Linked DNA regions of Styela clava. Each later gene encodes a partner of the first gene's protein in a complex. Links are inferred from orthologs where the notes say so. Each region holds a gene or a part of one and is shown in the gene's direction. Other genes may lie near its edges. The genes, in order: G-patch domain and KOW motifs-containing protein-like, crooked neck-like protein 1, cysteine-rich PDZ-binding protein-like and splicing factor 3B subunit 2-like.

Region 1 (7,058 bases):
CCCCACAGATAATGGCGAAAATGACGTACTGATTTAACCATCGCCAACAGCTCCCTCTCTGTTGTACAATACCGACGTTCCGTCTTAGATAGAGTCCTACTGAAATAAGCATGTCCCCCCCCCCTTGCAGTTGTGATAAAACAGCACCAGTAATACTCGCGTCGGTGTCCAAAATAAACTCCCCTTGAACCAAACGAAAAGCCAGAATATGAGCTGACACTCATAATTCACGTTTTTTTAATCCAACGAACCAGAGGAGATGCTAGGGTGGCATAACCAGATACAAAACGCCTATAATAGTCGGCAGTTTCCAAGAAACTTCTAAGATCTGATATTACTCGAGGCGTTTCCCATTCGACTATTGTTGCTACATTGGGAAGATCACAGCAAACTCCTTCGGAAGAAATTTTGTATCCAAGGTAGGTAACTGATTGCCAACACAACTGGCGTTTAGTCGGCTTATGTTTCAAACCAGCACCTCGAATGAAAATCTCCCTCAAACTGCTCAATGAGGCGTCAAAATCCCATTCGTGGGCTAAAACATCATCCAAATAATTTGAACAACATTTCCCGACTGAAAACGGTTTTCTTTTTGCCAGGCAGATCAACTTCTACCTGGCAGTATCCACTAGCTAAGTCAAGTGTTGAGAACCAGCTTGATCCGCTAAATGACCCCACGATGTCATCTATTCGAGTTAAAGGGGAACCATCTATGTAGGACCTGTAGGTAATTGAATTAGGTGCCTAAAATCAATACAAAAACGCGTACTACCATCTTTCTTAGGTATCAGAACAATTGGTAACGAGTGCGGGCTATCACTCAGCTCAATCACTTCTTGTTCAAGCATCTTGTCAACAGTGTCCTCCGCTATTTGTCTCCTTGCCCAGCCAAGACGCCGGGCAGAGGCGTAGCCAGAATATTTTGCTCCCGGGGCAAACTATAAAATTGGCGCTCCGACCTCCACGTTCAATCATATTTTCTATTACATTTAATTGTATATGAAAAAACAATTCAAATTTTAATGGAATATTTCATTTAAAGAAGAGGTAAAGCTGTACAAAATATAGCACATGTCTATTATGTCCCACTCAGTTACTGTCAAAGTTGATTTACATAGTCTACAATAAATTTATTTTTCTTGATTTCACTGTCGCAAACTGGTTAATCACGTCATCAAAATCTGTTTTTTCCAATGTTTCTTTCTCAACACTTAGAAGTGTTAGATCACTGAGACGATCATGTCCCATTGATGCACGCCAATACGACAAAATAAGTTTCAATTTGCTGAAAGACCGTTCACAGCATGCAATTGAAACTGGTATTGTTAACAAAATCTGTGGAGAAAATCGCAGATTCGGGAAAACGTCGTCACCAAAAGACACAATAAAGCCAAGAAAAGCCAAAGGAGTTTCTGGTTGACCTTCAGTTACTGAGCAGCATTCTGCAATCTCCAATTTCGGTGAAATTTTGGCGCTCCTGTACCTTGGCGCCAGGGGGCATATGTGTCCCTGTTGTCCACACCGAAAACTGGATTTGGAAAATCTCGTGCCCAATGACCCGTTTGCTTATAGTAGGGACATGGCCTAGAGCCGTAGACGGTGGTGTAAGAGTTGGTGGTCTGCGACAATCACTGATTCTATGTTCCACTTGACCGCATCTGAAACAAGGGATAATGGAACTTGGGGATACACGGGATCTCGTTGGTAATATCAGCCCCAAATATCTCATCGTTAGAAATTGCTACGGTTGCTACGGTAGCTTAAATTTGGTTCCCTCTTTTGTGGCTTGCCATGGCCTTTCATAACTTTAATATCTGGTAGCCAACGACATTACATCTTTCAACATGGCGGATTGCAAAGGCCAATGTGGAAATGAAACTTGTATAACCTTCACAAAAATTGCGATTTGGCCAAGTCATTCTTAATCCTTATCCTAAGGCTTCAATTATGGATAAGCTCGACTAGCTAGCTGTTTCAATGCACCGCCAAATTCATTATTGGTTTCTCTTGCCAGCTTCGCGGACTGACCGAAAACGGCTCGAAGCATTTCAATACCCCCTTCACTTCGAAATACTTTTTAAAATGGCGTACGATAGCCTCAAAGCATTCACGTTCGTTCACAATCAATTCAATGACTCAGAGCATTGCCTACCATGCAAATGCCTAATTCACTCCCCCATCGTGTCCACATATATCCCAACCATTAGACTCGGCTATAGCCTTAAAATGGTACAAAAATGAGCCCAAATGTTTCGATCAATCAAATTTATCCGGTTGTCGTTCCGGCCTGAACATAACCCCTCATCACATGTTCCAGTGGAACCCTTTGCTATACCGGTATCATCCTATTGACTAACATAACAATATCTAAGCCTATCCAGATTTAAACACATTAGGTCACCTATTTAAGAACTAGGGACAATTTTACAGACTTAAAAAGACCCAAGAACACTAAAAATCTAACTGAAACAACCGCAGCTACATTACTGCAATCCACAGCCTTCTCTAACAGGATAACAAAAGAAAGAGTGACAGTGCCGTAGCGTCTCGGTGTCTCCAAAGTTAAAACACAAAATATAGCAGTAATATCAAATAACAGCATTCAAAAGACAAAAAAAAGCATGTCACGCTTTAATCAACCAATGAGCATATATGCTCATTGATTCAACGAAATCGAGTAGGTTTATTTCATTTTTTGTCTAAATAAGCCAGGCTGATCGGCGCGGCCGATGGCGCATCGCATTCACTTGTCATAGTGTCACGGTAAAAAAAATGTTGCTTCTGTGGTTGTAGAATGTAGATGAATCAGAAGACTCAAGAATTCAGGATTGGTTGTTTATTGCACGGCAACTCCAATATCAAACTTAAAACAGCATAACAGATTACATCACTAAAGAACTAAAAAACACGACCGCCCGCCAGCGCAGCAGCCGCAGAAAAAAGGGGAAAAGACATAGGTAGTTTTTTTCTTACGTGTCAGTGGTCGGAGTCCAGATCCGACAAAACAGCATTAAACAAGGGTAAACATACTAGTCTATAAACATAAAAAAAATATATACACACAATGGACCTTTCCCCGAGCATCGACTTCCGTGTTTACTTCGTGACATTGGCCAATCAGCAAGATGCAAAAAGTGACGTAACAATGCCCCCTTTTCCCATCCGCTCAGACACTTTTCTCACTCAGACAGATTTTCAAGCGTGGTTGTAAACCTCGTTTTTGAACCCTATTCGTTTGTTTTCAGTTGTGTTTCGGAAACTTAAATAAAAATCAGATAATTCAATGACCACTCTGTCTTCCTAGAAGTTTTAATTTAATTGCAGTAATAAAAATTAGTGTAGAAATAGCTGTGATAGACTAGCCTGAAATTTTTTACCGGTACTTTTAAAAAACAGATTGTTGTGTGCGATGAAGCATAATGATGGTTTGAAACACATACCCCATTTTACAGGCGCTAACTCGCAAAAGCACTCCGAAAATAGCACTGAAAATTTTGCAATGGTAAAGTATAGGAAGAATTTTACGGGGGTCAAAGGGCGGGGAAAGGTCCATATAAACACGGACACTTTAGTGTTTAGTCCGTGACAATAGCACCTTTTGGGTAAGCGAACACGCACTACTTCTTGTATCAATACCTTCCCACCTAAAATCTGTACGCTTCAAACCTTACTTGAGGTTTGGTTTACTTTTCCAATTCTATAATCAGTTTTAATTATTTTGTTTTTATCAATTTTTTTATCGTCTGTTGCTGATTATGGAGTCGAAATAAACTTATCGTTATACCTCCGATTACCCTATGTGGGTTCGTAGAGGCTGCTTCATCACCCGTCGAGTCCATGCATCTGAAACAAATAACTGACTATCTAACCCCACACCCGACAAGAACTAGTGATCGGACGAGACGCTGTGGTACGCGATATTGTTAATCCGTCTCATCACTTGCACTAAATTGTTCTTTTCCGTTCTTACTCCTCAGTATCCTGTCACAACTGCTTTATTCTGTCGCGTGATGGCGCTATGGATCGAATTCATATTTAACATTATGTGTTAGTGAAGTCGACCGATGGAAGTTCTCAGAATATTCTAAGCCGATCTTTGAGCTTTCAGACCAAGCTCAAATCACGAGCAAATTACTGAACTACCGGTACCGTATCAGGTTGAGATAAAAATAGCTTTCATTGAATATGATGATTTTTAAAGGATAATGAAAGCCGCAGCGGGACAGCAGGAAGAGTATTTGAGAGCCGCATGCGGGGTTGCACATCACAGATCGAGATAGCCTAATCTATTTTGAACTCGTCGTACAAGTTATTGTCATTTTACACTCAGACATCTGAACATTACCTTGAAAAGCTATGGCTGTATGGTAACACATTTTGATATGTCAAAATCTACAGATCTAAGGAAATGACAGTTGAAGTTGAGACAATTGAAGTATAAATTGATTTTTGATTGCTTATTATTTCTTTAATCTGTTAATCAGTAAACTTTAAAATGAATGAAGTGAATACCAAACAGCAAAATTGAATTTTATATTTTCTTAGAAAATTAACCATTCTTATTGCTATATTTTAGAGTTTGTCATAATGTCAGTTTCCTTTGGATTCAAGAAGAAAATAGAATCCAAGGTTGTGAATGTTGAAAAGCCTAAAAATGAAGAGCCGGATTATCTTGAAACCGTAGAAGGAAAAGTAATAAAATCAACTAAACTTCAGAAAGAACCACCAAGGGATTTGGTTATACCCCTAATTAAACAAAATGTTTATAAAATACCAACATCTGTGAATAAACAAAAGACATCAGCAGAAAATGTTATCAGTAGTATTGATGCGGAAGCAGCTAAAGAAATTCTTGCAGAATCTAAAACATTTTTAGAAGATACTGATCAAAACGGAGAAGATTTTGAAAATCTTGCAGTGCCACTTCTTATGAAAAATAAGGTGCCCGAGGGATATGAAACTGATAATAAACTAGATGTATCATTGCGACCTGATGAAGCATCAGAGGCCCAATATGATCAAATCCCTGTGGCTGCATTTGGCATGGCAGTACTGCGTGGGATGGGTTGGAAACCTGAAGTGGGAATTGGCCGAACTTTCAAACAAAACACAGAAATGTTGCACCAGCAAGTTAGGCCTAAAGGTTTAGGTCTTGGTGCTGATGTGGCTACCCCAATAAAAGCTGATACAACTAAGACTACAAATCGAGATGAAACTCATATAGAGGAAAATCAATTAGCACTTGAAAAAGGTGCTAACGTATTCATTCACAGGGGCGCATTGAGAAACAAATATGGTGTCATTTTGGGCCTAGACATTGAGACTGCAAGATGTATTGTCAAAATGGCAATAGGGGGTAAATCTGAACAAATTGGACAACACTGTCTTAGAGTTGTTACAAAAAAGGAATATGATAAAAATGCGAAGGATTTAAGTAGACTTAGCAAAGCATATACTGGGGATAACATGCTTATAATAGGTAATGGAAAAAATACAGAGGAAAATGATAAAAGACGAGAATCACCAGGTTCTGACAGAGCTATGTCACACCAAAAAGATACAGATATGAAGCATAAAGAAAAAAGGAAAAGAAGACACAAAGAATATTCACCACCAAAACATAAAAAATCAAAGAAACATAAGTCAAATAGAGAGATTTCTCCAAAACAAGACTCAAATTCTACTCTCTCGCATTGGGTACAACCTCAAATGAGAGTCAGAATTGTTGATAAATCGTACAAAAAAGGCAGATACTATCTTGAAAAAGTAATTATTGAAGATGTTTTAGGTGGTGGACTTTGTTGCTGCAAAACGACAGATGGTAGATTGTTGGATGATATTGAAGAATCAATGTTAGAAACAGTTATTCCAAAATCAGCTTCCGATTCTTATATAATTATAGTGAAATCAAAATTCAAATCGAAACATTCAGGGAAACTTGCTAAAATTCTAGAAAAAGATAAAGCAAATTGTGAAGCTCTGGTTCAGTTAATTGAAGATAGAGATGTTGTGGTTCGGGTTGCTTTTGAAGAAATGTGCGAGTATACTGGCGATGTTGAAGCCAGTATGATGTTTTAATTTTGCCCAAAATAAAAAGCATTAATTATATTTTGCCGTTAGGTTGATGGTAAGATGTTACAGCGTTTTCAATATATTTTGGATGCCTTTATTGGAATTCGAAAACCTTATCATTTAGATATGTGTTTTATAAATTTAGATACGATTTGTAATTTTGTTCATTTTCTATAACCTGATGCCTTTGGATAAAAAACAATCTTATATCAACAAGTTTATCATAATATGATTTTGATATAAACTACTACTCTGCTAACTGATTTGATTTCTAAATTTATGCTTCGATAATTATCAATTAATCTCCTAAAACATGGTAAAATAAATTGACTAAATACTGTTCACACACAGAAATTTTATATCAGTCATCCAAGTATTGCCAATGTTGAACGAACGGTTTTCGATTCCTAATTTGACAAAAAATAGACAATACGAGTATTCTGCAAGTGATAATATCTCTTTATTGTTGCTTCTAACAATTGCAGATGATGAATTGTATTAAAATGGAATTTCTATCGCACTTTTATATTTATGTTTTGTAATGATGTCTTTTCAGTAATAGGGTAGTAATAATTTTTAGCTTTTATAAGCATTCCATCATTAAATTGATTGGATATACCTTCATCAATAACACAAATGATAGTGAAGTACTAACCAACCCTGCACTGCAGTGACTCAATATTTGCCTGAACCACACTGTGAATAGCTCAATATCTAGGTACAAACAGACGAAAAAAATGTCGTATCCACATCCGACTAATAATTACTACCCCCCTCCACCTCCAAACATATCAATGGATCCACTTCCTCCAGGTATGTCCTTAATTTTCTATTAATGTTGACCATAAATTTCCTGGTCCTGAGCTTTGATAATGTTTTGAATCAGGATGGGAAATGAGGATTGACGAGGCAACAGGATGGCCCTTTTTCATTGATCATAGAAACCAAACAACTACATGGCAGGATCCAAGGCCTCCAAAACACCA
Region 2 (7,798 bases), on another chromosome or scaffold:
AGTTGAGTACGGTACCGTAATTCTGTAGTTCAGTACCAGTTATAGCAGTATAGTATATAGTTACTAGGTAGTTATTTAATCAAAATAATTTCCAGAATTCTCCACTTTAAATTTGTGTATATTATAGTATTATGGCAGTATGGAGTGTTCGAATAAACTATCTACCGAATCTATCCATGGATTTGTTCACAAAGATAAAACATTACACGAATAAGATAACTGGATAAAAGCGAAGAATTTTTGACTGTTTGAACTGAGCAAAAGCTAAAATGAGTTTTTAAACACATTTACTAGCCTTGAGCATTGACTTGACAGTTCGAAGAAGAAAGAAAACAAACCTCATCCAACCTGAACAATTGTGGTAGGCTACCTAATCCAGTTTGCCAGTAAGCATAAATTTTATAAGACAGTACAACAGTAAGAGATTCTGAGATTATAAAAGCTGAAAAGAGAGTAATATTACAGTTTTATAAGAATAGGAGATCATTAACTTACACATTGCAGCATTACACATTACTGCATTATGTCAGTATGTAGACGTATCGTCTCACATATTCTCGAACAAAACAATGAACAGGGTCTCAGGTATTTTCCTACCTCAAGTACTTCTAGTGGGCGTAGCATAACGATTTTTGACTTCCTGACTTCGCCATCCAAAAATCACATCACTACGCCATCACAATCATGTCATAGAGCTTGCCAAAGTATACATATGATCGCCTGAAATGACATCTGTGCCGACGATAAAGAACTTACTACTTCTCTCATATTGGAATCACTGCGGGCACTGTGACGAGAAATAGCTTGCTCGATTTTGGGTGATTGTCTGCGCGTCTTTGATGACAGTTCATATAGTCTGAAGGGCTTTATTATGTCACTGTGACGTTGTAGTAACATAATTTTCGGATAACGCAGTCAGGTGGGGGTTGGGATTGATATATGCAAAAATTGAGTGACAGGGCACTCATACAAACAATCAAAAAAATAATTTTTGGATTAAAATCTGCAAGCATATACCCCAACTCTATCTGTAAATGATTCAGCATGTATGAATTTTGTGATTGATTTATTCTGAAAAATCCATCCTTTTTTATTTAAATACTGCAATTTTGTTTTGTATCAAATTTATGCTATACCAGTAAAATCAAAAAATTTCAATTTGTTTTCTTAAATTTCAGCCTTCCATTATTTTTTGATCAACTATGAAGAAGTTTCATTTACACTTAGGCTTCACCACCACATGATTAAATCTGCAACATATATGTATATTCAGGGTTCCATATACCTTTGCAGCAATCATTTTATAAAGTCATATGGATGTGTTTGCATCTGCATACCCAGATGCCTGTTCAAGCATTGGAGCAGCATCCAGGGCAGGAAACTCTCAAGTTTTGCATGAACTTTTGATGAAGGGGTTGGATTACACGATCAAAGATAACAGGGGATGGTATCCTATGCATGAAGCAGCATTTGGCGGTCATATCGAGTGTGTTAAAATACTTTTGGAAACGGCAATGTCAGATTGCGAATCTACCAGAGAGATTTTGGATTGTGTATTCCCACCTGCTTTTGATGGAGAAACACCGTTATCTATTGCTTCTAGTGAAGGCCATGTTGAAGTTGTTAAACATCTCATGAGCTTGTACAAAGAATCGGAATTGGGAATTGACAAAATGGGATATCCTCTCCATGAATCCTGCAAAAATGGGCATAATAAATGTATTGAAATTCTAGTTGATGAATTCCCAATGCATGTTAACATGAAGGATTCCCGAAGTGGTGATTATCCAATACATGTAATTGTTGAAAAAGAAAATATTCAAGCAACAAAATTTTTAATACAAAATGGGGCTGATGTAAATGTGCAAGATTCAGATGACTTGAAGACACCATTACATGTGGCAGTTTCTATTGAAAATGAAGAGATTGTGAAACTTTTGATCAATGAAGTTAAGGATGTGAATGCAACTGATATCACAGATTGTACGCCCTTATATTTAGCTGCGCAAAATGGAAATGAAAATATAGTACGGTTGCTGTTAAACAAAGGTGCTGATCCATTAAAGTGCATGTATATTGATCATATGGGCTTAAAAAGTTTTCCATTAACAGTAGCAGCTGAAAAAGGACATTTTCCCGTTGTTAAATTGCTTGCAAAAATTACTCCGAAAGATTGTTGTATTTCTGCAGTTATTTTGAGTGCTTTTAATAGGCACAATGATTGTTTATTATATTTATTCAGAAAAGGATATTCAACTTTCCATTCGGATATTAAAATTGCAGGTGAAAGCGTATGGGATATTTTATTAGGCCACAACAATGGTTTTGAAAGTTTCTCAAGTACTGTTAAAATACTTATTGAAAATGATACTTTATTTTCGGATCTTGCGAGAAGGGAAGAACATTTGTATTTTAAATATTTTATTTTGCCCATGAGATTTAATGACGTTAATATTGTGGTCCTAAATGAGTTTTTGAATGCAGGACTACTGGAATTACGATTCAACTGTGAAACATTTCCTAACTTATCATATTCAATCAGCGGACATAAAGTTTTACAAGATCGCTTAATCCTAAATAGTCGGTATCCGCATTATCTGAGAAATCTATCCAAAATATCACTTTGTTTGAGATATTTTCCATTTTTATCGATTTCACATAATAGTTCATTGCCATTGGTGGTTGCAAATGTTGATGATCTTCTGCATGGAATTCTAGTTCAAAATGTTCCATCCTTGGTTGATTTAACCAGATGGGTGATACGCTGCTATATAATTAAAGTCAAAGGCCTCATTTGTTCCAAACATATTACCTGCTTAAATTTACCAAGAAAATTGGAAGATTTCCTGTTGCAATGTTAAAAAGTTTTGCTGTTTCATATCTGAAAAACATTTTAGTGATCACAGATGAAAACAGTATAATCATGCAGAAATGCAGATGAAATTGAAACATTCCCCAGTCCCCACACTGTATTAACTTAGGATGGGAACACTAAATATTGAGCTTATTCCTCATATGACTTGGCTATATTAAATATATATATCACTTGGCTTTCTAAAATGTTGACTATAATTCTTTTGCATGTTGATAAATTTATCTCAAGCAGTCAATTTTAATTTTTTACAATTTGTATTAAGCTACCCCACAATTCTGGTTACCCAAGTTCTTAGTGTAGTTTACCGTGGCACATTTGATTGTGGAGATTGGTTTTGATGTTAAAGATCATGTTATTAGCCCCATAACTAATTTCATTAGGTATGCTTGTTGAAACTGCCATAAATATATGCATGTTTAAACCTCTGATCGCCATGATATTGTAGGCTAAAGTAACTTTGGTGGGTGATTTAATGCTGCTGTGGGATGTGCCGACATAACTATTCCTGTATTCCTTATCATATAGAACCAATTTGTTTGGGACGTGACCTTTGACATTGCCTATCCAAAATGAAATATGTAGCTGGAGCTCCAGAAGAAAACCACTTGGATCAATTCTAGGAAAAATTTCTGATTTAAATCAAATTATTTGGTTAAGAAAATTATATTTTATTTTCCCCACATCAGAGCAACTTTTTTGCACAATGGTCTTTATGATTAAGCTATAATCTCTTCGCAGTCCTGTCCCTTTTCGCAATACTATTGAGGCTTTTTTACTCAATCATAAATAACAGAAGGTCTAACTTACATACAAATGAATGAATTAAATTATTGTATTTTGGTCGTAGCCAATTACATTGCAAATACTTAGTAGATTTCCTATATTCTTTGTATGATTTCAGGTAAAACTTACTGTTGTGGCATTAAGTCGTAGTGGAAACACTAGATACACTGTATTGTGAATATGTGGAACTTTTATTTTGTTGTAATTATGTATGTGACTTCACTTGGCTTAAGTCATCGTACCCAAACTGGCAAGTTCATATGCAAACGATGTGGTGAAACTGTGGCTCAAGCTGAAGATCTTGTTTCCATTCCAAGTAAACTTGCACTTCAAAGGTGGAACAAAACAATTTTAGGAAAGCCACATATAACTACACAAAAATTTGAAAATCCACAAGGTGCTCAATTTGAAGTTGTAACTTTTTCTGAAGCCTCTGTAACATCAAATGAAGACGCACATACAGAAGCGACTTGGTTTCCTGGATATTCATGGAGAATTTCTGCTTGTTCAAGATGTAATTTTTTCTTAGGTTGGAAATATCAACCAGTGAATTTTAATCACATGACATTCACAGAAAATGATAAATTTTACGGACTTATTATGGATCATATTATTCAAGATATTGATTCTGATTCTCTGGTCATTATTCAGCATCCGAATGCAAGATGATAATAAGTTCTTAGGTCATCTGATAAAATTATGTCGGGCAATACAGATGGCAGGATGGTGTCTATTTCAAACATGAAGTTTGAAATGATATAGTGCTACAATATAGTAGTATAGTATTTCTTGCCATTTAAAAAAATTTTCAGCCTCTTCAAAAATCGAATAACTAGGCAAGACACCTTGCATATGAAATTGATATACTTCTTGAAGAATTTTAGTCGAAAGGAAAGTGTTAAAATATCATTTTCATTTTAAAACAATAAAATTTCATGATCATATAAACTTATTTTATATGGTACAAAATACTGCCTTTATTATTTATCTTTATTTGATATTGAATAACTGACTCACTGTTATATATATTTATTGTAACTAAATCATTTTTCTGTCTGAAGTTAGAAAAATAATGAAATTTTCCGAGGTTTAAATGTTTTCCGATTGTGTTTTCCTTTTATCGCCCAACCGACCTTTTTTTCAGTGCAATCAATTAAAATTAACGTTCGGATTCTCTCTTTTGGTTTACCGTATATCTAATTATATTACGAGCATCCAATAGTATTATTTTGTTGAAATCTAAGTTCAATCATCAATCTAAAGTCAAAATGCATGAACCAACAATGGGTGGAAAACAGAAAATGCCCAAAGTGGCCAAGGTAACATATTTTTTAATCAAAGGAAACGGCATAGCTTGGTTTGAAGTTGCTTATATTATTGACTGGTTGTTCAGAGCCTTGTTATGCAGGGTTTAAAACATGTCATAAAAATATTAGTTAACAAGTGTTTATTTTTAAAATTTGTGTGTATTTTTCGTTTTCGACCATAAAATTATCCAATGATTAATTTGTATTATGTTTTATGGCTGAGCTGAAGAGAATTTATGAATCCGAGTTGTCTATAAAAGTCACATTTTTTTAATATGTGCAGTTTTCATAACCTATAAATTCATGGCTATTTTATGTATACCCATTATTCGATCTCAGGTGAAGAACAAAGCTCCAGCTCCTGTGCAAATCACTGCTGAACAACTTCTTCGAGAAGCAAAAGAAAGGGAATTAGAGAATGTTGCTCCTGTAAGTTTAAAACCCAAATTTGTGAAATTTTGTTATCTGATTTTCATTATTGGACTTGAAATATACATATGGATTGTTTGACAAATTGGTTTTGTTAAAATATTGCTTTTGGCAATGGATTTCAAATTTTCAATACTTAAAATATGGAAGAAGTCGTTAGAGGCAATTACGGTACTTCAGTCCGATGGTCCGATAGTTCACCTTAAATCAGGCCTGGGCAAGTTGCAGCACTTTGAGCTGTGTGCTAACACAGCAGGATATCGTTAGGATAGTCGACTCTGCGCTACCCAGTGTGCCATTGAACCTGATATTAAAGGAATTGTTGAAGCGCTACAGGGAAAACACTCTTCTAATTAAAAGTAACATTTGTATTATTTGAATGTGTAATAAAATTTGAAATTGCAATATGGCTCCATGGCAAAAATAATTGTTCAACCCTGCCTGAATTAAACGCTGCTGATTTCTTTTATTCCATCGGAACACTATATATTATATGGGAACGCAATCGCATGCCCTCTGACATTTGTGTCTATCACTGTCTATATAACGAACCTTTCTTTCTTATTTAAATATGATTTACATTTTAGCCTCCAAGACAGAAGATCTCAGATCCAGATGAACTTGATGAATATAAACTCAGAAGAAGAAAAGTATAATCTCTTCAAATTGTCTGTTTATACAGAAGTGTCTTGGGATATTTAAATTAATTTTTGTATAATTTCAGGCTTTTGAAGATAATTTACGAAAGAACAGAGCCCACATATCCACATGGATGAAGTACGCTGCATTCGAGGATAACATGAAAGAAATCCAGAGGTATTTGTCTTCCTTTAGAGCAGGGGTTCCCAAACCAGGGGTCGCGACCCCAAATTGGGTCGGAGTGATAAATAGGTAGGGTCGCAACTAGGTACAACTCATCTAAGATTTGACAAACCATGTTAAATTTAGCAGTTTGTATCATGGCTCAATGTAAAACAGGCACATAGGCATCACTCTATGCTTTTGTTATTGAAAATGTAGGTGTTTATTGTGACATCACTGTTGGGTTTCAGCTTATTTTCCTTAATACCACCACATGACCAAACTCAAAAGTCCAGTGAAAGAAGCTCTAAAGTTTCATGAAAAATATATATATATTGACCTGGGGTCGCACTGGACACTTGAAAGTTGTCTTTGGGGTCGTCCTGAAAAAAAGGTTGGGAACCCCTGCTTTGGAGGATTTTTTCTTGTTGCAGAAGCCCCCATTTATGTAAAAAGTATGGATTTTAAAGCAATGAAAATATCCTATATCTCGATATCTGTGTTCCTCAATCATCAATATAATTTTGATTGGCGCTCGAGTGAAAACTCATAACAAATACTGTAAGATGTATGATCAAACTATTCGAAGCAGTTTTTTCAAGATTCATAAGTTTATAACTTGTTCTAGTTACCTCCCATGATATTTGTTTTCTCAGGTATGTGCACTTCGCAAGTTGCCGAATTGAATAAATGATCACTCCTATATTATTGATTACTTTATTTTCTGTTCTTTTCAGGACAGCTTCAATATACAATATAATATTTTCTTTAAATCACTCTTATTTTTCAGAGCAAGATCAGTGTACGAACGAGCTCTGGATGTTGAATATCGAAATCTTACACTATGGTACAAATATGCAGAAATGGAAATGAAAAACAAACAAATAAATCATGCAAGAAACGTTTGGGATAGAGCAGTCACTATTCTACCAAGAGCAAATCAATTATGGTATGTGTGCGTGGCAATCTAAGTTTTTTGATCAGGGAGAAAAAAGAATGTTGCAGTCTTTGGTGAATTTCGTATCTGATATTCTGGCGTGTTTGGCGTGTTTATTAACACCTATGCTCAAGTATGGTTTTAAGCAAGCATTTATTGAAAAACACGAGGCTTCTGTGTCAGTGGAAAGAAAAAATTGTCTTTGTGGGTTGGAGTTTGAACTGCAGTTTTTTTACAGATTATCAACTTAAGTAGGCTATCTACTTCTTCTAATTCTAAATGGAATTAACAAATGGAGCAAAACAAGTTCAAACTAATTTAGGTCTAACTGTCAGAACAAAAATCTTAATATAACCAAATACACAAATCAATTAAATGATTGATATACACCCAGATGACCAAAAATACCATTGTTGCCTTCTGCAATTAACTGTCGTGGCGATGAAATGTGATGTTGAGATCACTCTACTTTGCAAATATAATTCAGTTTGTAAGCCGTCTCTCTTAATTGAATATTAATTTTTTATTAGATCATGTGATAATATTTTTCAGGTACAAATATACATACATGGAAGAAATGCTTGGCAATATTCCAGCTTGTCGACAGGTTTTTGAGAGATGGATGGAATGGGAACCACATGAACAGGTTTAAATTGGTTGAATTAT
Region 3 (7,910 bases), on another chromosome or scaffold:
TGAGCGACCCCTTACTCCGGGCTGTAAATATTTTGACTCCTAACAGATGAGAAAATCCAATTTTGGTAAGAAAAAATTGTGTGTGCGTAATTATCGGTTTTTGGTATTTGCCTTTTTTATGATTAGTGTGCGTTTTGTTGACAAGTTTATGATGATTGATTGGCGCTCCAGAAGTGTGTGTACCAATATGAAGGTAACTAAGATTGTTCGCCTATTTCACATCAAGTTGTGTAAAAGGACTGAAACCTATGCACTCGGCTAACACAGACAGTCGCTGAACTTGTAATAGAACTAAAATAAGGAAATCGGAATAAAATTAAGGCCTAATCCTAACCTGGCACATACACTACGGGGGGTACCGATTGATTGGTCTAAACCAGGGGTCGGGAACCCATGGCTCGCGAGCCATATATGGCTCTTTTGGTGACGGCATATGGCTCCCAGAAAAATCTAATATTCTAAGACTAAGCTTACTATTGTTACAAGATTTCAAACTCTTTTATAGCCAATTTTGGCAGGAAATTCCCAAAACGTTTGAGAACGCGCGCCCAGCACATGTCTATGTTATGTGAGATAATCGCCAGACAGGCATTGTGACAAACAAGGGGATTCTGGAACATATATTGTGACATCACAAAGCGATAGAGTTTTAAAAACACTACGGAGATGCCTAAACGAAAAAGGGTGATGAGAATCGTAGATTTCAACTTGGGCTGCATGTGAGCAACCGTTCAAGGCCCGCAGCGACTACATGCAGCATCAGAAATCACATTAAATGTATATTGACATTGTATGTGTTGACTTTTGAGTAAACATTTTAGGCCTGATCAAGTGAAGAAATGTTATATGGCTCGCACGGAAATGCAATTGAAAATATGTATATTTTATGGCTCTCTTGACCAAAAAGGTTCCCGACCCCTGGTCTAAACATTTCTTCATTTGCCCTATCTTTTAAATCTTGATTAGAACCTGCAAATAGCCAAAAAGATGATCTTCATTACTAAAGGTCGAGCCAAACTCGTAAAAAATTTGTTGTAGATTTAAGATAATTATTTCTTCATTTTTGATGAATTGATTTTTGATTATGCAATCAATCAATTGAATTTTAATTATTTTTCCAGAATTTTTATTCTTAATTAGAACAAATATCTAAAAATAACTGATATAATGTCTGACGATAATAAAGCAAATTCTGAGCCAGCAGAGGGATCCAAGAGTCCGAAAATTTGTGAAGAAACTAAACCAGAGGTTGCAGAGGAAAAAGTTGAAGTCTCTACAAGCGAAAGTGGGGGTGCAAATCAAGATACAGCAGATGAAAATGACCCATTTAAAGATCATAAATTTGTAGTTCCATTTACGCAAATCAAAACTGTTTTGGACATGGCAATTTGGACAAAATCAAGCGGGTATGAAGACTATTTAGGATTTATAATGATGCTAAATGCAGCTATAAAAGGTAAAAAGCTTAGTGCTCCATGCGAAGTGTCTGAAACGACGAAAAAAATTGTCGCACTTTTGGATTTATTGGATAAATGGATTGATGAAACGCCGTCGATAGACCAGCCGCAAAGATTCGGGAACAAGGCTTTTCGTACTTGGTATGAAAAGTTAAAAGAAGAAGGTGAAAAATTGACCTCTGACCTTTTGCCTGATAATTTAAAAAGAGCTGCTTCTGAAATTGTGGAGTATTTACACGGGGGTTTCGGAAATTCCACAAGAATTGATTACGGAACTGGTCACGAAATGTCATTTGCTTGTTTTCTTTGTTGTTTTTTTAAGCTCCAAATCCTGGGGGAAAAAGATAAACTTGCGGCCGTTTTTCACGTCTTTAATCGTTACTTACACGTCGCTCGGAAGTTGCAAAAGACTTACAGAATGGAGCCAGCAGGGAGTCAAGGGGTATGGGGGTTAGATGATTTCCAATTTTTACCCTTTATATGGGGGTCGTCGCAGTTTTTCAGTCACCCCACGATTCTACCTGTTCATTTTGTAGAATCGAAAATTGTCGCTGAAAACCGATCAGAATACATGTTCATGGAATGCATTGATTATATCATGTCCGTAAAAACGGGACCTTTCGCTGAGCATTCAAACACTCTCTGGGGGATTAGTGGCGTCCCGCATTGGGGGAAAGTCAACTCCGGCCTATTGAAGATGTACAAGGCGGAAATACTTCAGAAATTTCCGATTATTCAGCATTTCAAATTCGGATCCATACTCACTTTAGATCCGAGTCCTAGACAACCTGGTATAAAGTTGAATTGAAGAAATAATAAGGAATAAACCTTTTTAAAAGACAAGTCTTTACATTAAAGCTTAAAAACTACCTCTGTTATAGAACAACGAATCAGTTTTTAAAAAATTACAGTGGAAATTTGAGACGCTTTGTGAACAGCATTTCCCGTTGAAGAAATGAGTCATTTGTTTCTTATTAATCAGTTATTTCTGTTTGGGACATAGCATGTCGTATATTTTTGCTCACCTAATCGTAGACAAAAACTACTAGGGCAGGGAATTCAGGCAAAGTTAACCACAGCGTTGTATTAAGTTGAACTTGAGCAATGAAGTGGATTTTTTAAAACATTGCACTTGATTAGCTTGTGTGGAACCTTATATCCGTCCTTATTTCTACCCTGCTGTCTCTATGGTAAATCAACAGCCCTCTAAGGAGAACCATTTAAATGGTAATTTGGACCACATACTGGTATCCTTCCCTGTTCATAACTTGCTGTCTCTATGGCAGCCCAATAGCCCTCTATGGTCGTTGGGACAATATATCTATCCCTATTCCTAACCTGCTGTCTATATAATATATAGCAATCAATGGCTCTCTGTGACGGAGGCAATTCAAACGTCGATTGGGACGGTATATATCCATCCTTGTTCAAACAATTGAGATTATGCAGTTTGAGTATAGAATTTCTATGTCCATATATGTAAGCAATATTCTTTTCTCACTTTGACTTTTACTTAATACAAAATGATTTGGGTATTCATCGTGATTGGAAAATTATGGTTCCATCTTTTTGGATTAGTTTTTTAGATTAATATTTTTCTGTAATTTATTCTTTATTCCAGATCTGTTGAGTCATTTTGAATGTTTCATATTTTTTTGAACTCTTCTTGACGTTTGAAATCTTTTGTATGTTTTTGCCATCAACTGTTTGTCCTTAGTATGCACGTTTGCTCGAAACAGAGTTTTGGGCCTTCAACTAAATGTGGAAAGAGAGAGAGAGCGAAGTCATATTTTTTATCAAACTAGAGAACAGAAATATAAATAATAATAAAATAAGAGAATCGAAAGTTTTCGGTTGATGACTGGTAGGTAACGAAAAGACCATTCGCGATCATCTAAGTCAGTTACCACCAAATACAAACACTTAGGCAGCACACAGCGTTCCTTTTCAAACATGCTAGTTAGCAGTGTGGAGCCCAGCGATCCTCCCGAGCATAAATCAGCGGTACGAACAGTTTGTTTGTACCTTTATCTATCAAGTCTAAATATCGTTCTTGTGGCCTATTAATTTATATATTATGGTTACTTTCTTTTAATTAATGAATAAATGTTTTTAATTGTTTTATTATTTCAGATTTATAATTTAACATAAATCTTGAAATATGGACCAAATAACAGACTCTTCAATGGCAGAAGGGTCAGATGGAAATGGCACGACCTCTGACCCTGATGTGAAAGGTGATAATACGGCAGAAGGAACAGATGAGATGGACTTGACCTCTGACTCTGAGGTGAAAGGTCACAGGAAGAAGAAACCATTTCCCAGAGAAGACTTCAACCCTGATGAATGGGAATTAGTCGAAGAAGACAATTGTTTAATCGAATTGCATGGAGTCGCGCGTAAAAATTATCTCAAAAAATGTGATAAAGATCGAGTGAAACTTATCGGATTATTTGATGAAAATGGAAAAATGTTTCTACAATTGGATGAACTTATTTTTATGGGTGAACCGACAGAAACGTTTGGCACCAACGCACTTTTTGAGGAATATTATTCCGACGGGGAGTCTAGTGAGGATGAGGACACATTCCGTACCGTGACACCGACTCCAGGAAAACAGAAAGTTAAATTACGTTATTTAACGCACACAGAAAAAAAGATTTCAATGTATAGGGCCTTGTTAGTAGACAAGACGGTAGATGAAAAAAGTGAATCTCAATGATTAGGGTTTTCCCCCATATTTGCTATTTTCAATTTTTTCCTGGGGGGAGATATGGACTCTTTTTCATCCTTTGATTTGTATTATGTTGTCATGGTTTTGTATTATGGCATTCATGGTATTATTGCATCACATTTTTTAAAATTGTACTCAAATTCGTCCGATGATTAACTTCCAATGAAATTGCCCTATTTTTAAATAACTCAGCCATTTATTTTTCATTGGATGCCAAATTCACTTATTCTGGTCTTTCTAAAAATTTTAGTTATTTTACGAATCAGTGACCCCTTTATATTGTTATTGAGTATTGTTCAAAGTGCAATGTGTGAAATGACATATGAAACGTGCAAAGTGTTGATATAGGGGTCTGACTAATAGTTAGGTAGAAGTCTCCCAAGCGCTCCAAAGTTGATTGAACGAAGCGGAAGGATATTCGCGGGCTGGGAGAGGGGAGCGCACGAATGCGGCCGAAGCCGTATAGTTGAATTATTATGAATATACATATGCCTAAACATGTGCGTCAGGTTGAGTCATCCAAGTCGAATCAATCACTGATTTCTTTTAGATGAGTTGGGTTACTTGTAATCTCTGATAAATATTGTCTTGACTCTTCAGTCCATAGCACTGGTTACCAGTCCAGCAAGGGTTTTAGAATATTTTGGTCACATTGTTATAGACTCATGATCTTTGGATTTCGTTTTTTAAATTATTTCTTGTTTCTTTTTTTTAGATTTTAATCTTAACTACTCTAGTTAATACTTTTGAATTCTTCAATATTATCTGCTGTCTTACTTAGGGGACAATTTTCCTGGACAGAATAGATTGAACGACTGGACAGCAATGGTTTGCGATAAATGTAAGTATTTTATTATTGTTTTCAATGGCGAGATTGTCTCATCTGGTGAAAGTAATAAGACTGTTTTGCCAACGCAGTGTTGGTATAGCAAATTGCACATCAAGCCCGTGCTTCTGAAAACAGATACCATACCCGACACAGACTGGTAAACGAACGAGAGGTCGGGGTTCGCCATATGATCAAGTCGTCTTATCAGCTTTTCTCTCTGCTGATATGAATATCTAAATCCTATCCTATGCTAAAAAAATAAGTGACACTACATGGAGAACAAAATTCCTCTCCAAGAACTGCAAAATTTTTTCTTAGAGAAAAATTTCTTATCGAACAGGGAACGTCAACATAAATAGCTTCTTCTTCTTGCAACTAATCTGAAACAATCTTGAGAAAGGATTACCATTCTTCTCAGATTCCTTTGAAATTAACCGTCGTGGTTAAACTTGGTATATTCTATTCACAGGTCAGAAAAAACTGGGAACAGTGGCGACACCTGATCCATGGAAAACTGGAGCCAAGAATACAAACGGTAGGAATGTTTTTATAAGACGTCTTTTGACCTGAACATGGTCTAATACAAGCAGCCATTACTGTGTAAAGGCTACTATTTATTTGGAAGGACCAGGATATTTCCGCTTTGTCATTACCTACCCAATTTATCAGACACTGGGTGTGGGGCGTGGGCGAGGGAACCAGAGATGTTCGACCTGCAGTGTCGATGCAGTTAATCTGTCGTTTTGTTCGTTAAACCATCGCATCACCCAGGATTGCTATAGCGTAGCAAATTTTAGGGGTTTAGCATAGGAATTTAGATGACAAGTGGCAACCTTTGCTAACCGGTAAAAAATTTTGTTGTTTAGGGGGTACATAAATACTTTGTATTTGGTGTAGCTTAACTTATTACTTATCGATCTTAAGATCGGTAAGTATGTTGATAGGTATTTGTCTGTTTGTTTTGTTTGTCTGTTAGATACACGCGATATCTCACGAAAGCAAGGATGAATCCGCTCCAAATTTTGCATATGCATTCATATCTCGGATCAAAGCCTATTGATTTTGGATGAATTATGTCGTATATTTAGCGAGTTATTAATTAATTAGTGATGAGACACAAGGTGTCACTGTGGAGTAAGAGCGCTGTTTTGGGGGATCCTCTAACTTTCGATCGATGAGTCTTCGGTCTCTGACCGATATTCTCGTGTTGTTTACTTATTTAGTATTGTTGTGAATTGCAATACAGATGCAAAATAGGCCATGGAAGAAATATAATAAGAAACCTTGGGAACCACTGGTCTACATAGTATGAATATACGGTGCACTCGACATATGTCTACCAAGATGGCGCACAACCTGAAATTAGTATATGTACCAGGTTAAGGTTCAGGTTGTGCGTCATCTTGGTTTGCATACTTCCAGAGCGCCCAACGTACAGTTTATGGAGGATGTTGTTTTTTCTACAGAGATGGGCAAATAAAGTATTTTCAGGCTCGACGGTGTGGCTCAACGGGCTAAGCGTTAGGAATACGCTCGCCACTGCACCTCTAATTACTCTACGTGGGTTCGCAGGTTCGAATCTCATGCAGGGATGGTTATGTGCGAGCGGATTGCTGGACTCCTCGCTGTCGTTGGGTGGTTCACGTAACCGCTGGTCGGTCGGTTACGACTTCCTCCACCACCAAGTCCATGCCTCCGAAAACAAACAATATAACTAATCACATACCTGACTTGGAATGGTAACCGGACGAGAGGCCGTGGTTTGCCATATGGATAAGCCGTCTTATCGGCTTTCCTCTCCCCCGGGATAAATATGTAAATCCTATCCTATTTCACAGAGGGGGGACGTAAGATCAATGAAAACAAAGCTTTGACTGGGACGAAGAATCGATACAATCCGTACAGCAGCGGAAAGTTTAAAAAATGTCGGATATGCAAATTACAAGTTCATCAAGTTGGCTCTAATTTTTGTCAAGGTAAGGTAATTCCCATTCCCCTCTTCCAACTTATGGTAAGGGGCAACCCTCTTGAACCACTTAGGATAGTCATCTTCCCTCTTGCTACAACATATTTGCATTATATGCATACGGATCCGCCAGCACAAAAGCATAAAAGAAGGATAAGTAGCCGGTCTGGCAGAACCGGTAAAATCGATAGTAGCCTACATATTTTCAATGAATTGAAATTTGAAAATGCAGGCATATAAACAATTTTATCTAACTGAAGAGTCCAGCTGCACACTAACACAAATGTATTTCTGTAACAACAATCAATTGTTGTAAACTGCTTGTCTGAGGATGTCTGAGTTTGGTCGGACGAAGGTTACAGAAATACATTTGTGTAAGTGTGCAGCAAGACGCATTAATTGGATAGAATAGTCATGTTTATTCCAGCTATAGCATCCTTGAAATATACGCATACGGATCCACTAGCATAAAGGCATAGAAGAAAGATAGGAAGTTAGTCTCGCGCAACCCAATGCAAATATAAACAATGATTTGATTGATTTTTGCAATTTCCATTCAAATAGATGCCTTCTAGGTTATGCTGTGAAACTTCATTTATAAACCTTAAATTTATTCGAATATTCGATTTTCTTTGGACATCCCTGACTTGAGTCTTTTATAATATTCTTGGAGGTCAAACTTCAAACATTCTTCTCCAACACCTATTATTAATAGTAGATTCTAGGATATACCATATATTGTTTTGTTCCTCACAGCTGTATTAAATGAAGTAAAAATACTTGAACAATTACTGATTAAAACACAACAAACCTGGTGAAGATATATTGAGAACTGACTTCATCACAAAATTGGAATTATAAAAGTGTTTTATGGACACCCTATATCGACGCATGAAATCCAAATTGGGCTAAGTCCATTTTTCT
Region 4 (8,019 bases), about 5.3 Mb from region 1:
ATTCTAAAAAGGGGGTGCGGCTTGAAAAGTTTGGGAATGCTTGTATGTAGTAGACCCTAACCTGGTACACATGGTTCCGGTGTCTACCAACTGGGTTTACATACTTCAATTTGTATTACAGTTGTAAAACAGAAAAAAGCTGAATGTCGGTCTTATTCCATCTGTAAATTTACCAAAATCTCCAAAAAGAATGAACAATGTGCCAGACCATGTGTATTTTCGATGAAATGAAAAGTGACATATGAAAAATACAGAAGCTGTAGAAAATATTTTGCATTCCAAAAAAATTAGTTCACATATTAAATATTTTACATTACAAAAAAATGGTGCTCCAGAAGTATGTGTACCAATATGAAGGTAACTAATTTTGTTCGCCTATTTTATATCAAGTTGTGTAAATGGACTAAATTCTATCGGTAGGGGATATTCACTTGTGTAACACAGACAATTCCCGAACTTTTAATAGAACAAAAATAAGGAGAATCGTAACCTAACCTGGTACACATACTACAAGAGTACCGAAAAAACAGCCCACATAGTAAAAGCAGTTATGGAAATACTTTACATTGCAGAAAAATTAATTCACATAGTAAATAGCAGACGCAAGATGTATTTTGAATTGCAGAAAAAATAGCTCACATAGTTAATAGCAGTCCTGAAATATTTCTCACTATTGATAACAAAAGTATAATTGCATCCAAATCAACAGTATCTTTATGACTATATAAAGGATCGTTAAAATTAAATGATATGCAAGAATCATATTGATAACAAAATGTATTCTAATCAATTTTAATATATCTAAAACAAATTCTTCATAAATATTTTTTGTAATTTACAATACATGAAAATATGTGAAACAAACTCAGGTTCTCCATTACATAATACACACGTTTCATTCCCTGATTTTCTTCCAATTTCTGGCTTTTGTTTTCAAAGGCAAGATATCCCAGAGTAATTTATAGTTAAAATCAGTATTTTTAATAGGTAAACGAATAGCTCGCAGAGCCATGTGATTCATATGGAGGACAGAGCTATGATTGTGAGAGGCCGTGGTTCGCCATATATTTAGGCATTCTTCTCGGCTTTCCTCTCCCATGGATAAATATGTAAATCCCATGTTATATCAATGAATAAATACATAAATAACCGCACCCCTCTAGGCGACTGGTTCATATTCTGTTCTGTAGATACGTTTTCTGCCTAATAATAGATATGCATTCTCAATAAGCATATGCTCATAGTTGTATGCTTTCAGCGTACCATACTTCGAAACCCAAAACCAAATATGTATTGAAGAATTACAGACCTCAATACGGCCAATTTCGCACCCGACTCGGCTGAAGCAAGGGATTTTGGCAGCGAGCAATGCGTTTTCTTAATATGCAACGAACCATTTAGCTGGACGACGTAAAAATGCAGGGAACAATACCAAAATGAGCAAATCTTTGCAAGTTTCCACTCATTGTATATATGCTCATTGGTAGGCTTCAAAGTATCGCAAACTGACGACGTAGAAACGCATCAGTCATGCGTGGCGAACCGGCCGTGAGCGAACTGCGAAACCACTGTGAAGTGACTCACGAACCACTGTGCACGAACTATGGACCTTTCCTCAAGCATCGACTTCCTTGTTTACTTCATGACATTGGCCAATCAGCAAGATGCAAAAAGTGACGTAACAATGTTCCCTTTTCACGCCCGCTCGGACACTTTTCTCACTCAGACAGATTTTCAAGCGTGGTCGTAAACATCACCTCGTTTTCGCGTTTTTGAACTCTATTCGTTAGTTTTCAGTTGTGTTTCGGAAACTTAAGTATGGATCAGATATTTCAATGATCACTCCAGAGCATAATGGCTCTGATCACTCTGTCTTCCTAGGAGTTTTAATTTAATTGCAGTAATAAAAAATCAGCGTAGAAATAGCTGTGCTAGACTAGGCTAAAATTCTTCACCGGTACTTTTAAAAAACGGATTGTTGTATGCGATGAATCATAATGATGGTTTGAAAAACATACCTTATTTTACAGGCGCCAACTCGCAAAAGCATTCTTAAAATAGCCCCGAAAATTTTGCAATGGTAGAGTATGGGAAGAATTTTTTGGGGGTCAAAGGTCGGGGAAAGGTCCATATTCAGTAAACTTTGATGTACGTCGACGTATAATACACGCTTAGCTTATAGCTATGTAGCCTAGATACGGTATGTGTTGCATAGTGTAGTGTTGCATAGATATTAATCAAAATACTATTATAGCAAACGATTCGGAATGCAAATCAAAATTAATCACAATAATATGCGGAAAATCAACAATTTGGGAATATCGAAATTCAGTAAAATATGATGAAATAGGTGGAAATTATTGTTATATGAGCACATGGTGCATGGATGATCTTTTACATAGGTCAATCATGATGTAAGTTTATATGCAACACCATACTCTGAAAATTATTGAAAGTATGTTATTTGTACATCATTCTCAAAAGAGGATGAGGTTTCGACTATGAAACATAGGCCTAGATGGCGAATGGGAAAAACCCAATATGAAAGCGTGGATTTTTCCATATTCTCTGTCTAATTTTTGTATTCTTGTATTTTTCATGCTAACTAGCAAAAAAAAAAAAAACAGATTACCTGTAAATTAAAATTATATTCAACTAACTGCTGAGTAGATTACATGGGGATTAACTCAACTTTTTTGGACATATATTCAGATATTGGATTATATTAAATTAATGACATCATGGTAATGGTATGAATTTTGTCTTTATTTTTATTTTTACTATTTAGCCTATGTACAGATGTATTGGGGGGAATGGGATTAAATTGAAAAACGATAAACAAAAACATGGAAACAAAAAACTATCAATTTATATATTTATAATAAAATGATTTGATACCAAAATATTAATACGAAAATTCCATTTGGCATTGGAATTTATTTGGCACAAAAAAAAAAAAAAAAAGCTATGTAGCCTATACAGCAAAGTGATAGTCACTTTGGTATACAGTATACACTATACAGGTATATTCAGATATTACTTGATCTGCGCAACGCCAGATCCTTGCTGCTTAGGAGGACGGGTTCATTGCGTCTCTTTTTTTTTTTTTTTTATAGTTCTGCGTAGTTCTGTAATTGCGTCTCATTATTTCCCTTTTCGTTCCTTCACTGCAAAGAGAGAGAGAGAGGGATTTTATTATCACAAACAATGCCAACACTAAAAGATATATTTGATTCAAAAACAGAAAAAAAAAAATTTCAATACTAATTGGTTGATCATTATATGCGAGAATGGAAATACCGGTACAGTGGTACCAGAACGGTACAGTATGTAGTCAACATGTGTAAGTCCTGACTCCTGAAGTCAGCAATTTAAAAGCGGTCTTACTAGTTACTGAATACAGCGCGAAACACCGCAAAACAGCGCAAAACAGAGGGAAACAGCGCAAAACAGTGGGAAAACAGCGCGAAAGAGCGCAAAACAGAGGGAAACAGTGTGAAGCAGAAAAATTTTTTGCAATGAGTTCGGGGCACCTTGTTTTGAGTTGGAGTACCACGGCAGCAAATTAAAAACACAAACCAACGTATGTAGCCAGTAATGCTGTAATGGCAGGTCTGCCCCTGCTATTGAGACACATTTTGGGTACCATAATTTAGAACATTTTTCATATGGATATGGTTGGCTTTAGGGTTAGGGTTAGATAAAAAGGGACCTCCAGAAGTATGTGCACCAAGATGGCGCACAACCTGAAAATAGTATGTGTGTGTGTAGCGGATTCAGGTTGTGCGACATATTGCTGCACATACTTCTGGAGCACCAGAAAGGTAGATAAAATTTCGCATGATGACCTATAATCCGGTACATAACCTTGTAAATATACCGGAAATAGCGCAATAAAACCATGGCGAGAGGCGCCGTGGTTCTTTCGTGGCAGGAGGTGGTAATGACTGCGTCTCCTGTTTTCCGCTGTTTCCCTCTGTTTTGCGCTGGTTTCCTTCTGTTTTTCGCTGTTTCGCGCTATTTTGCACTGTTTTGCGCTCTATGCGGTGTTTCGCACTGTATTCAGTAAGTAGTAAGACCCATTTAAAAGTTAATACCCGTACTGCAAGTTAAGGCTGTACAGCTGTATGGTGTTAATAGATCATATGAATTGAGTGCTGGCAGGACCAGAGAATTATGGCAATCATCATGAGCTTGCAATGCCGCTAGAGTTCAAAAAGTTGATAAACTTTATTTTTGTATTGAGACAAGTACTAAAGTAAAATCATGATGATGATATCTTAGACCAGGACCAGGAGTGTGTAACTTGCAGCCCGGGTGCCAAATGCGGCCCTCTAGGAAAAATTGTGTGGCCCGCGGAGAAGTGCCAATTTTTAATGATGTGCGGCCCGCGAAACGTTTTTTATTTTATTCAATACCGGTATGGTATGTGCGAGTATTCTTGAGTCCAATTTATTATCTATTCCATGACTTAACAGTTAGCTTGTGCAAACAATGTATGTCACAAGATCAATAACCAAAATTTTTGTGCCTGCAGCTACTAGATAGCCCATGTTAAGGTGCAACCCACGGTTTCACCTAGTTCAGTAGTTATTACTATCTGGCCCTACTGTATTGAAGGTTGCACACCCCTGTCTTAGACAATGAGTATTTATAAAATAAAATAAGTAATATTTATGTTAATTCTGTAATTTGGATGAAAAGAAAGTCAAACAGTCAAGAAAGTTTTTTTTTTTACAGTCAATGACCTCGTTTCAGAGACAAATAAAGTGTTCGCTTCATTGAACTGAATGTCGGGGGTATCGAGGTGTCTTGGAATCGAAGAACTGTGCCCCTACTGGATTAGATTAATCCGAAATCAAATAAACAAAGTCCGAAAACCCAATGTTTTAAAATATTGAATTCCTTCTTTAATTTTTTTTTCAGGATTTAAAAAAAGCAGTGAACGTGAAGACTACAATTCCTCTAACATAATTTTTGCATCACAGTTTCCCAGCTTAACCATTTATCTCAATCTTCTTTGATTTACAGATTTATATAAAGTAGATAGGTAGAGGCATAAAGTAGTTTGCAGCAACAGCATTGTATAAACCATGTCAAACAATGACATCCAACCTCCCCCTCCACCCCCTCCAATGATGGGATCATTGCCTCATGGACCACCTATGATGGGAGGCTCATCAGGACCCCCACCCCCTCCGGGGCCCACAAATATGATGGGTCACAATGTGCCACTTCCGATGAATATGGGTCCAATGATGCAAGGTAAGATTTCTTTTTTCAAATTAAATTGGTAATTAATGTTGATTGCGATTACATAGCACAATAAAAATCAACAAAAAAACAACCCTTGTTTAGCGAATTCTATTGAATATATAATTTTAATAGCAAGTTTTCTTCCAATTACAGGTGGACCAGATAATATTGGCTTCAATGACAGAATGAACAGAAGACCCCATCCAAATGTAAGTATCAAATTGGATTTACTACAACTTGTCATATTGCTATAACTTTCATTCATTCTTTTTGACGATGTAATAATTTTAGAGTGAAACACTATCTGTTCAGAAATAAATTTATTTTCAGGATGGTGAAGATATGCGAGGAGGTCCTGGAGGATTTGATAGACCTCCTTTCCCTGATCGCTTCAATAACATGCCACCTCGTGATAGGTTTGACGGGCCATCTGGACCTCCTGGTAATTTTGATGGCCCACCTGGGCCCCCGAATCGCTTTGATGGTCCCCCAGGAAGTTTTGATGGCCCGCCACCGAGACATTTTGATGGTCCACCTGGTGGATTTGATGGCCCACCTGGTGGTTTTGATGGCCCACCTGGAGGTTTTGACGGGCCTCCTGGTAGCTTTGATGGACCCCCTGGGTCAGGTCCATCAGGCCCTGGTGGATTTGATGGGCCACCTGGCGGGTTCGAGGGACCTTCGGGACCTAGTGGATTTGACAATCATGATGAGTATAGAGGAGAACCAGAGATGTATGATGGTATGTATTTATGTCGTAATATGCTGCTGAAGTTTTTGTTAATCTGTCATTGAATAATGGAATAATAATATGGAGCTAAGCTAACTGGTGTTGTGTGCTTGGTGTGTATTTATTGGTAGATTAGTGAAAATTTTATATAAGAATACAAGTTTTATTTCAAATCCTTTTATAAATATCAGAACGTGCTCCTCGACGTGGTTCTCCCCAACCTCTTATGGGACGTCGTGTGGAACCAACTAAGGATTTCGAAAGAAGGTTGAAAGAAGATGAAAAATCAGGCAAAAAAGGAAGAGATTTCAGGTTGCCAGCTGCACTGGAAAAAATGCTTGCCTACAAAGATGAAAGAGCAAAAGAGGTATTTTTATTGTGTGTTGTTTAATAGATAACATAGTGGTTAAAGTATTGAACGTAAGAATGTTGGCATTGCAGGCCAGAACTGGGTTTAAAATTCATGTCACTAATAAATTGGGTAAAGACTGCCAAACTGGGAAGATCTTATCGAAAATAGGACCTTCTTGCTTAGAAATGGCTGCTTGTTCAGAATTGAAGCCATATAAAGCATTTTAACTAATATGATCTTTAACCAATTCAACTTAGAAAAAGTTCGACTACTACTACTGTTGAATTTGAACCTGCTTTCAAAAAATATATTTGTGTTTACATTGTTATACCTCGAAATATCCTGTAATAGTTTCTATTTAATTTGAAATAGGTTGGAGTTTCGAATGAAGAAGTCAAAAAGGCAATGGAAGGAAAATTGGAACTCGAAAAAGCAACAGAACCAGCAAATGAAACAACAATGTCTGAACAAAAAAGGTATTTAGAAATGTTGTTGGTTTGAAAATGTCTTTATAAGATATGTACAAGTCTGGGACTTTACAACCAGCGACGCCTGCAAGATTTCAAAAATTCTCCCGATTTTGACTCTAAGTTAATGAAAATTTAAGACTTGAGATAATCCTATTTTGTTAAAAACTTTGGTCTTTCTTAATTAACAGAATGTTAAGGACAGTGTTGAACATAATTTATTTGAGTTTCTTTCTAAAATTTTGTCTTTAATTATAACCATTATCAAGTCTGGAATTCCGAATTTGGACTTACAAGAAATTCAAAATTTTGACTTGACTTTTGATAAATGGTGATGCAATTATCGCAAATACACTACAATTCATATTGAATTCACAATCCAGTACATTTTCAAAAACCAGAATCTCCATCACTTTTAATCAATATAATGAGAGAAAATTTTGATCAGGGGCTTAGGCTACCCAAACTTTTGAGCTCGCGAAAATTTCCTGTGACCCCTGTTAAGTCGGCATTGTTACGCAAGCGCACCGCTCCTCGGTTCTTACGATTAAAGCCTGCATTATTATATAAGCGTGTCGCTTTTTTGATCCTATGTATTCTCTCGAAATCATGAAATTTAAGTTTTGCACCAGTTTTTAATAATTGTGTTTCAAATCAAAATTCTAAAAAAGTACAATAGATATGGTAGCCTACTTTGTGTGTAATTGGTGAAATAGGTTTGAACCCTTAAATTCAATGCGCACCACCATGCGGGGTCGCGACCCCCAGTTTGGAAAGCCCTGGTCGAGGTTACTTCATGCAAGGAGACAGAAAATGTTAATCTTTCTGCATGCCTCTGTGTGACTAAATAATGCTACTTCCAAGACTTTCATATTTTAATATTTTTTCAGGCGACTCGAGGAAATAAAAGCAGAAATTACGAAGCAGTATGTTGAAGATACCAAACCCGGTAATCTCCCACTTACTAAATCAGAAGTTGCTGAACAAGCTCGTAAAGCTCTCAAAAACAGAAAGAAAAAAGAAAAGAAGAAGAGAAGAAATGTACAAAAGAAGAAAGAAAAAGAAGAGAAGGAGATAACAAAAGATGCTCAACCTCCCGCAGAGAAAGGAGAGATTGATGCAGTGAAACAAGAAAAAGATGTTGAAATTGAGTAGGTTATTGAATGGTTTTACATATGTGTTGGAATTAATGTTGGATAATATACACCAGGGGG

The links.
Region 2: G-patch domain and KOW motifs-containing protein-like (region 1) and crooked neck-like protein 1 share a complex: the UniProt entries of both Homo sapiens proteins name them as parts of the minor spliceosome. The link is inferred for Styela clava from reciprocal best matches to the Homo sapiens genes GPKOW and CRNKL1.
Region 3: G-patch domain and KOW motifs-containing protein-like (region 1) and cysteine-rich PDZ-binding protein-like share a complex: the UniProt entries of both Homo sapiens proteins name them as parts of the minor spliceosome. The link is inferred for Styela clava from reciprocal best matches to the Homo sapiens genes GPKOW and CRIPT.
Region 4: G-patch domain and KOW motifs-containing protein-like (region 1) and splicing factor 3B subunit 2-like share a complex: the UniProt entries of both Homo sapiens proteins name them as parts of the minor spliceosome. The link is inferred for Styela clava from reciprocal best matches to the Homo sapiens genes GPKOW and SF3B2.

Annotation. Positions count from the first base shown.
Region 1 is NC_135251.1:15,497,562-15,504,619, forward strand, and holds G-patch domain and KOW motifs-containing protein-like, read left to right. Parts: upstream 1-4,042; 5' UTR 4,043-4,587; coding exon 4,588-6,078; 3' UTR 6,079-6,627; downstream 6,628-7,058. Other genes in the region: uncharacterized protein LOC120335364, read left to right, coding at 6,810-6,885, 6,959-7,058. UniProt on the Homo sapiens protein: RNA-binding protein involved in pre-mRNA splicing. As a component of the minor spliceosome, involved in the splicing of U12-type introns in pre-mRNAs.
Region 2 is NC_135255.1:8,359,193-8,366,990, forward strand, and holds the start of crooked neck-like protein 1, read left to right. Parts: upstream 1-4,797; 5' UTR 4,798-4,926; coding exon 4,927-4,977; intron 4,978-5,304; coding exon 5,305-5,394; intron 5,395-5,981; coding exon 5,982-6,044; intron 6,045-6,118; coding exon 6,119-6,210; intron 6,211-6,985; coding exon 6,986-7,144; intron 7,145-7,684; coding exon 7,685-7,778; intron 7,779-7,798. Other genes in the region: uncharacterized protein LOC120331723, read left to right, coding at 1,314-2,861; protein cereblon-like, read left to right, coding at 3,839-4,327. UniProt on the Homo sapiens protein: Involved in pre-mRNA splicing process. As a component of the minor spliceosome, involved in the splicing of U12-type introns in pre-mRNAs.
Region 3 is NC_135255.1:21,668,652-21,676,561, forward strand, and holds the start of cysteine-rich PDZ-binding protein-like, read left to right. Parts: upstream 1-4,894; 5' UTR 4,895-5,016; coding exon 5,017-5,032; intron 5,033-5,489; coding exon 5,490-5,555; intron 5,556-6,858; coding exon 6,859-6,996; intron 6,997-7,910. Other genes in the region: serine/threonine-protein phosphatase 2A activator-like, read left to right, coding at 1,168-2,265; general transcription factor 3C polypeptide 6-like, read left to right, coding at 3,619-4,179. UniProt on the Homo sapiens protein: As a component of the minor spliceosome, involved in the splicing of U12-type introns in pre-mRNAs. Involved in the cytoskeletal anchoring of DLG4 in excitatory synapses.
Region 4 is NC_135251.1:20,765,495-20,773,513, reverse strand, and holds the start of splicing factor 3B subunit 2-like, read left to right. Parts: upstream 1-5,016; 5' UTR 5,017-5,093; coding exon 5,094-5,265; intron 5,266-5,409; coding exon 5,410-5,465; intron 5,466-5,586; coding exon 5,587-5,998; intron 5,999-6,177; coding exon 6,178-6,353; intron 6,354-6,710; coding exon 6,711-6,814; intron 6,815-7,695; coding exon 7,696-7,956; intron 7,957-8,019. UniProt on the Homo sapiens protein: Component of the 17S U2 SnRNP complex of the spliceosome, a large ribonucleoprotein complex that removes introns from transcribed pre-mRNAs.